2 linked regions of the Daphnia pulex genome follow. The protein of the gene in region 2 purifies or fractionates together with the protein of the main gene of each other region. This does not show direct contact. Links are inferred from orthologs where the notes say so. Each region holds a gene or a part of one and is shown on either strand. Other genes may lie near its edges.

What was found. Proteins that work in one complex are often made in the same cells at the same time.
Region 1: the proteins of 3-hydroxyacyl-CoA dehydrogenase type-2-like (region 2) and mitochondrial ribonuclease P protein 1 homolog purify together in Homo sapiens (co-immunoprecipitation; 3 studies listed by BioGRID and IntAct, counting the BioPlex papers as one, with this or other methods). This does not show direct contact. The link is inferred for Daphnia pulex from reciprocal best matches to the Homo sapiens genes HSD17B10 and TRMT10C.

What each region holds. Positions count from the first base shown.
Region 1 is NC_060023.1:12,059,891-12,063,555, reverse strand, and holds mitochondrial ribonuclease P protein 1 homolog, read left to right. Parts: upstream 1-1,178; 5' UTR 1,179-1,270; coding exon 1,271-2,458; intron 2,459-2,524; coding exon 2,525-2,671; 3' UTR 2,672-2,686; downstream 2,687-3,665. UniProt on the Homo sapiens protein: Mitochondrial tRNA N(1)-methyltransferase involved in mitochondrial tRNA maturation. Component of mitochondrial ribonuclease P, a complex composed of TRMT10C/MRPP1, HSD17B10/MRPP2 and PRORP/MRPP3, which cleaves tRNA molecules in their 5'-ends.
Region 2 is NC_060018.1:6,280,446-6,284,816, reverse strand, and holds 3-hydroxyacyl-CoA dehydrogenase type-2-like, read left to right. Parts: upstream 1-1,847; 5' UTR 1,848-1,985; coding exon 1,986-1,994; intron 1,995-2,214; coding exon 2,215-2,271; intron 2,272-2,339; coding exon 2,340-2,447; intron 2,448-2,511; coding exon 2,512-2,596; intron 2,597-2,664; coding exon 2,665-2,954; intron 2,955-3,047; coding exon 3,048-3,266; 3' UTR 3,267-3,394; downstream 3,395-4,371. Other genes in the region: pre-rRNA-processing protein TSR1 homolog, read left to right, coding at 4,127-4,238, 4,306-4,371. UniProt on the Homo sapiens protein: Mitochondrial dehydrogenase involved in pathways of fatty acid, branched-chain amino acid and steroid metabolism. Acts as (S)-3-hydroxyacyl-CoA dehydrogenase in mitochondrial fatty acid beta-oxidation, a major degradation pathway of fatty acids.

The DNA of each region.
Region 1 (3,665 bases), on a different chromosome or scaffold from region 2:
TGTTCTGCACTTGATCGCACCATTTGCTGTCTATGAGCCCAAGGCAACGTGACATAAATCTTCGTCCAACCGCAAGTCAAGCAACAAACTGGCACTTCTCTCGAAACGCCAACCCTTTCCTAAAAGCAGAAAGCATTTATAAAAAGCCATTACCATGATTACTGATGAGGATTCCCTTCCTGGAGTAACTTACCAGTTGAATTTTAAGAGGCATTGGCATTAGATTTTAAAAAAAGTAGATGAGAAATGTCATTGTAAACCTCTTTACTGCTTCAATAGAGGTAAATGCATTTCCTCGTGACTAAAGTCCTGACTGTATCACACGACGCAAACAGTCTGAGTCTACTGAGAATAAGAGAAAAAAATACAAGAACTTATTCTACAGAGAAAATAGAAAGGTTTAGTACTTGACCTGAAAAGCTCAGCGATAAGGTGACAAACCTTGAAGAGTAAATGAAGAGGACTCATGCTCAATATGGTTCAAATAGAAAGAGCAGCAACAACTGAAACAAAAATTAAGTTGAATGATATAACTTTGAAATAAATGTTCCATCATCCTCAATGTCAAGTGGTGTTTATACTTACAGCTTATCACTCTTGATTAGCCACACAAGGGGTGGTAGCACAGGCAATCCAAAATTCACTGAGGGAGAAAAAAATTTAGAAAGATAACTGTAAAGTCAGGGCAAGAGATTCGAGCAACAATTATCCTATCAAAATGCACCTTTTGCTAAGTATTCACTACTTATTTAATTTGCAAATAATTTTAACCCAGAGTCAAGACCACGCGGTTTTTTTCTTTACCTGTGGATCATTGTCATGCAAATATGCAACATTCGTCTGCTCCTTTCTCCTGTTGCCAGATTTAAAAAAACAATTTTGTGGAACTTTTTTTAGCCCTTCCCCTGGCGGGCGGCAGCCGGCAGGGGCCAAATTACCGAGATATTATTGAGATAGAGATAGATCGTCTTCCCCCCCCCCCTATAAATCCTATTTTTTGTGGGAAAAAATCATTAACAGCCCTTCGGGTACCTTGCTTTTGCTAAACGCATGCGCAGGTAGCTAACTCACTCTGTGAAGTTTCAATGAGTTTTTAATAGTTGATTCACCGACTACCAGAGGTCTAGAGCCCTTTGTAGTTCTTTGATTCTCTTGTAAGATGGCGCAGTGATCGAAGTATCCCGTTAATTATCTATCAACATGTTGTCTGCTATAGCAAAACAGTAAAACACATGTGACATTTTACATTTTCGGTCAGTGAGAACAGAAAATGTTTCTATCGAATTTCGTCAAGTCAGTTTATCGTTTTCAGCAAGCTAGTCGTCAGATTTTGCCTTTCGCTTTAAACCCAAACATAAGTCATCGATTCCCATGTCGGGAATTTTGTGCCCAAGAAAAGTCATCGAATGCCAAACAAGCAGAAGCAGTGTGCGAGCCAAAAAGAAGATATGTGACTTTGACAGAAGAGGTTATTAGTTCGTTAACCAAAGGCGATACGGAACTGATAAAACGACTCAAGATGGCTGAATTTGAATACGAAATATCCAAGCAAGAAGGAACAAGAGCTCCTCCTGGATTGACAATCAATGATTGGCAGGAATTGCTGGAGCTAGAATCAACAAGCAAACGGAAGAAATTTTTAGCATTTCTTTTCAAAAGGGAAATGACGAAACTGAGCCAAAAAAACTCAAAAATAGAACAACAACAAATAAGGGAAGCAAAGTGGCAAGCAGAGAAGGAAGCAATTAAATTAAATCCCCCCACTGAAGAGCATATTAAATATGGACTGGGCCACAACACTATTTTTTTGAAAGTTTACGATACCAAGATGGATCACTACGAAAATAACAGGATGATAAGGGCTGAAAGGTTTGAATTACCTGTGGTCTTTGATCACAGTTATGAACAACACATGACCCAACAGGAGTTGAAGAATGCTGCCAAACAACTAGCACTGTCTTTTATTACAAACAGGGAGCACGAAAATCCATTCCCTTTCCAGTATTGCAATGTCAACTTCAATGGACCCGTGATGAAGCATTTTCTCAAATGGATGCCACATCTGTATAGCCCTGAATTTCCAATCAATCTTAGCTCCAAAAGCTATCTTGACTTGTTTCCAAGAGAAAAGCTCGTCTATCTGACACCTCACTGCAAAACAGAAATGACCCATTTTGATTTTGACAGTGTCTACATCATCGGAACAATGGTTGACAGGAGTGACAGCAAGCCACATTCGTTAGCATTTGCTAAACGAGATAACATCCGAATGGCCAAGTTACCTCTGGATCGATATTTGCGTTTTGGTGGTGGCAGTGGCAAGTGTCTGGCGTTGAACCACATGATTTCCATCCTACTGGAAGTTAAAACCCACGGAGACTGGAATAGAGCCCTTGAGGTCGTTCCAAAACGTAAACTTATGGATCCATATTCAGGAAATGAATCACATCTAAGAACGGTATTCCTTTTTAAAAATATATGTCAATGCCAGAATTAATTTAATTTATTCCCCATTCTAATCTAGAAATACCCAAAGTCAAATGCCGAGATAAGGGGACGAGTGAGAGAAGAATTGGACGAATTATTATTTTCTAACGTCCCCCGTAAAACCAGCAGGTCTAATTCAAAGTCTATCGAAAAGCAGCCGATAAGCAAGTACCTTTTTGATTAGTCGTGATGAAATCCTATTAATAAACAGTAAATATTTTCCAAATTTCGTTTGCTTGTGAGGAATAAGTTGGAATAGATCGTGGTAGTTGTGTATATTTTCTCCAACTCTCAGAGTCGACATATGGCTTTTCTTGGAGAGTGTAGTAGTCCACTCTCTGACAAGTCAAAACACGGTTTCCATCATCATCATCATCATTCACTTTTATATAGTCAAATAGAAAAGGGGATGGGGACCATTCAACACCAATAAATTAAATTGAAAAATTAAGGGAAATCGTGAAAAAAGAAGAGGTGGACCATTGGATTATTTTCCCCGGTCAACACGATCAATAGACCGAAAACAAAGAAGATGGGGGGTTACGGTCGGACACACACACAAGGACGCACCACACACACACACACATACACACAAAAGGCAAAAGAAATATATATAAATACTACAATGGTAAATCCACATCACAGCGACAGCTTATTTTTCTGTTATCTTTCTGTAGGATAAAGATGAAGGGGGGAAATGTTTTTTTTTTCGAGAATAGTAAGAATATTATAAATAATAAAGTCGTGTGTTTTGATGTTTTCCACTTTTTCTTTTCAAAGGGCTTTTTACCTAAGTATGGAGTATGGAGCTGCCCAGAGTATTTGTCAATACGTAGTATCGAAAACACCAAAGGCACGAGAAAACATGTAATACATTCAAGAAAGAGCGGGAGGGTGGAAATTAAGAAGAGTTTCACATCTTATTAATTAATTAATTAATTTTTTTTTTTTTGCATTTTGTAATTTTTTTTAATTTTAATAAGAAAAAAAAAATGGGTGACCCTGTATATTATGATCGTTCTTTCTTCTTTTCTGCTTGTCTTCTTCTGGAAGCCCCGTGAAATGAACTAAATAGTGGGGTGGGAGGGGGGGTTGGTAATCGTTGGCTTTTCGCCCATCCGTCAATCCCAAGGTAATAAATCAAGAGAAAAAGTTAAGGGGGAAAAAGAGAGATCAGA
Region 2 (4,371 bases):
GTACTGTACGGAAAATGTCATTCCAATGGGGAAAAACAAATACTAACCTTCGGATTGAAGCGACAAGCGATGCGTTGTTGTCGAGTTCGAGAATCAAAAGCTACTGAACAAAAGAAGCTTTGTGTAGCTCGGTTTTAAAAAGCCTCGAAATGTCAGACTGACTACCGGAGTTCACTGTTCTGTTCTGCAACTGGTTTCTGGCTACTGCACCCATTGCCACAGGCCAGGCCTCTTTCTCTCTTCCTCCCCTTTTCGTAAACAAAATAATAACACTACGCACTGCAGCCAATCAGCAAGTCGGAATTTCTCTGGGTTGATAACAGAAATGAGGATATCCCGCCAGAGATTAATTTAGTAAGTTCACCCTCCTATTCCTTATTAAGCGACTTTCGTTGTGGCTTCGTCCAAATTTAATTTCAAAGAAACAATACTTCAATCAAATTAAAAACGGCCAGAACAAAACAAATTGTCTTTTGGCAGTGGACTGTGCGACATCTCGGAGGTCTTAGTATAAATGTTTTATTTGTCTCTCTCGCAAACATTTCGTAATAACTAATAAATGGGAAATTTTCTAAGTTTCCCGTGTATATTTGGAGAGTATGGAGACCCATATTTGGTGAGTCATCACGCCGATGGCTTTTTCACTCGTTCTGTTTGGTTTCACTTTACGTGGAATTACCCATAAAAAAAATGTCCGTGACGCATGTCGGCATGCGGAAAGTATGTCGGACGTGACTGTTTGATGTGAAAAATGCACAATGATCGAATTCAACGCATTGTAGTAAAACATTTAATGAATAAAAAGAACTGGATTTATTAATTCTTGCGCATTGGTTTTACACGACGAGTAACTAACATGCAGAATTCGAAAAGATTAACAGCGTCGTAAATTTTATTCCAGAAAATATATTTTCTACGGTGTACAAAAATTTGTGATATCACGTTGAAGGTTCGCGGGGTATCGAAGGATAATTAATTCACGCATGGCATATCTGAATCAAGCATACAATAACAAGGCGGCTCGTTGGGAGATTGCCCTTTCATGCAGTGATAACCTGTTCCGCAACTCGGTGAGCACGCTTCCGGTGGGCACAAAAATTTTGCTATTCAAATTGATAAGAATACAGTTAAGAAGAAAACAATGAACAAGTAGGAACTTGCCTGCAATTGGTGTATGTCGACAAAGGGATTTTTGACTGGTAGTCTCCACAGCAATGGCGCTGGCCATTGCAGTCCATATAGAAGTCGCCAAAAGCAAAATCATGCTTGTCATCACTGAGATCTTCATTTTGATCTGTAAGGTTTTCAAATAAAGATTGATAGAGAAAAGTGTGCTGCAAAGAGCCTTTATATGCATCGCAGATGCACACTAAAGTCGGTCGTTCTCGGTCGTTGACTCCGAAATATATAAAAAAAATATGCCAAAAAAATATTGTGTCTTAGCAAATATGCAGGTATTCATCTCTTTATGTGACCGATGTGACCGTTATTCTTGGATTTAAGGTAGGCTAAAGATGTGGTTGGTGTCGGTCTTTTCCTTAGCAAGTTTTGAGACAAGATATTTTTTTTTTCTAGCCAAGGGTGAAAGGCAGGCGCAAAAACATGTCGTAAACTGCCAAAGTTTCCATGGGGAGAAAGTGAATCCCTAAGGAATATTATTTTCAAGAATTTCAAATTTACCGATGTTAACTGACAGCTGTTAATCCCAATGGAATGGGGTGGGACACTAAGCTAAGGATTATTCTACATTTATAGCTCATTTTTAACTTATACCTGCAACCTGCATCTATCCAAATCGAAGGGATGACAACAAGACCACTTTTTCGTCTTTTCAAAGGGAAATCCATTTTTGTTAAATGTCAACGTCTAACTTTCGTAAGGTCGTCTGCTGCCGTACTCGGATCCTTCTCTTGCTGTCTTGCATATCGCGAGGAACAGGCAAAAGGACTCGTGTTTAAATCGCAAAATAAAATTCGTTTGATAAAATGTTGAAAGTAAGTTAAATAACATTGCATTTGTATATGGAATGGAAAATTAAATGCTGTAAAGTAAATATTAAAACAATTTTTTTTCAAATTATGTCAAGAACCCTATATAGTTTTGAGTTTCTGATGTGTATTTATATTACATGTCCGGTTTTCGTTATATGTTTCCCTTTATCGTCACAGAAGACAAATATGGATTTGGAGTAATTGAAACACTTGATTTTAATAGGGAGCTGTTGCCTTGGTGACTGGTGGAGCTTCTGGCTTGGGCCGGGCAACTGTTGAGGTATATCAGAACTGGTTTTCTTGTGAATTTACTATCCAGCCTTGATGTATAATTGTATCATTTGATAGAGAATTGTCCGACAAGGTGGAAGGGTAGTCTTATGTGATCTACCAACTTCTAAAGGACAACAAGTAGCTGCTGGCATGTCAGAAAATGTTATATTTGCCCCAACAGATGTAAAGATAATGTTTAAGAAGTAAAACATAATGTTCAACTAATAACATGTGATGTTCCTAATAGGTTTCTTCTGAGAAAGATGTAATGAATGCTCTTTCCATGTCAAAAGAAAAATTTGGAAAACTTGATGTTGCAGTAAACTGTGCAGGTAATTTTCATTAAATTTAAAAGAATTTCTGTTTGAATAAAAGTTTAATAGCTTGTTTATTTATTAAGGAATTGGAGTTGCTTTCAAAACATACAATTTTAACAAAAATCTTCCACACAAACTAGAAGACTTCATTAAAGTTTTGATGGTAAACACCGTGGGAACTTTCAATGTTATTCGCCTTTCGGCAGGATTAATGGGCGAAAATCAGCCCAACGAAGACGGTCAAAGAGGAGTGATAGTCAATACTGCATCTGTAGCTGCTTACGATGGTCAGATGGGTCAAGCCGCCTATTCTGCAAGCAAAGGAGCAATTGTTGGAATGACTCTACCGATTGCGAGAGATCTGTCGTCCCAGGTAATTTAATAAAACTAATTAACTGGAGGTGTAGAGATAAAATGGCTCAAGTTAAAACTGGTTACAATGTTAACTAATTATTATCATTTCTAGGGTATCAGGGTTTGTACCATTGCACCAGGATTGTTTAAAACTCCTTTGCTCGAGTCTTTACCTGAAAAAGTGCAGTCATATTTGGCAAAGACCGTACCATTTCCGCAACGTCTGGGTAAGCCAGATGAGTATGCAATGATGGTTGAATCAATTATACTCAACCCAATGATGAACGGAGAAGTGGTTCGTGTTGATGGCGCTATCCGCATGCAACCGTAAAAAAATCCAATCATTTAAAAACTAAACCAGAGTAAACAGTAATAAGTTATTGTTGTAATTTGCAATGTTCAATGGCTTATTCTTTAGTAAAGAGCTTTCGTGAGATAATACAAATCTTTATATTATTATTTTGTATTGAACGAACTTTTTTCGTGAATTGCTTCCAACTTTTGGAACTTTGTTGAGACATTTTTTTTTTATATGGTCACTTCAGTTTTCTAATTTAATTTAATGTTTAATCGGGTTTGGAGATATTCTACCAGAGAGGACGATTGGAGAAACGATACTTAACTGCTTGGGAATACAACTGTATAAATTAAAAATATGCAACCTGCTGCAGCGATAAAATTGATAAAAATCCTGACTTCTAAGGAGGGACAATAGCATTTACTGGTAGAGGAAAAATGGCGCCTCTGACTGGACAAAAAGATCACAAGATAATGAAAAGGGACTAAGGAACACTTAACGTGCGCTGGGCATGGCCGCTGACCCGCTGCGGCTGCCCGTTTGGACAGCGTGTCAGCTCAGCACCGCATGCGGACTTGCGGTACACGTAGTTACAACACAATATAGTAATATTATATGTATTACAATAACATGAATATATATATATTAAGTTATTAACATATAATATTATTCGCACGCGTTAATAACTTGCGGACTAACAAGATGTAGCATGTAGTAGCATGTAGTAGGGCAACTTCAAATTGTTCGTTTACGACTTTTGCAAGATTTAGCGTCGTCTGCACTGAAATATTGTGCCGTCCGCGAACTCCACGTGTGTAAAACGTCTATAGTACCAAGTGAACGGTTACATTTTCTTTTACTATATTAAGTAATTAACAGTAGTAAATAGTGGGATGGCAGGAGGTGAACAGGCTTCACATCGACCCGGTCTTCTAAAACAGCAAAATAAATCTCATAAAAATGGGAGACATCGCAGCAAAAGTGAAATTGACAAGAACAACAAAGGTAAGCAAATATTTGTATTTTATTTTACTGGCGTCATTTTCAAACTAACTTAGTGTGGTAATTCTAGGACGAGTTCATGTCAAATTAGCATCAAAAAGGAAAAATCAAGAACTAAAGCGGGATGAAAGAAGAA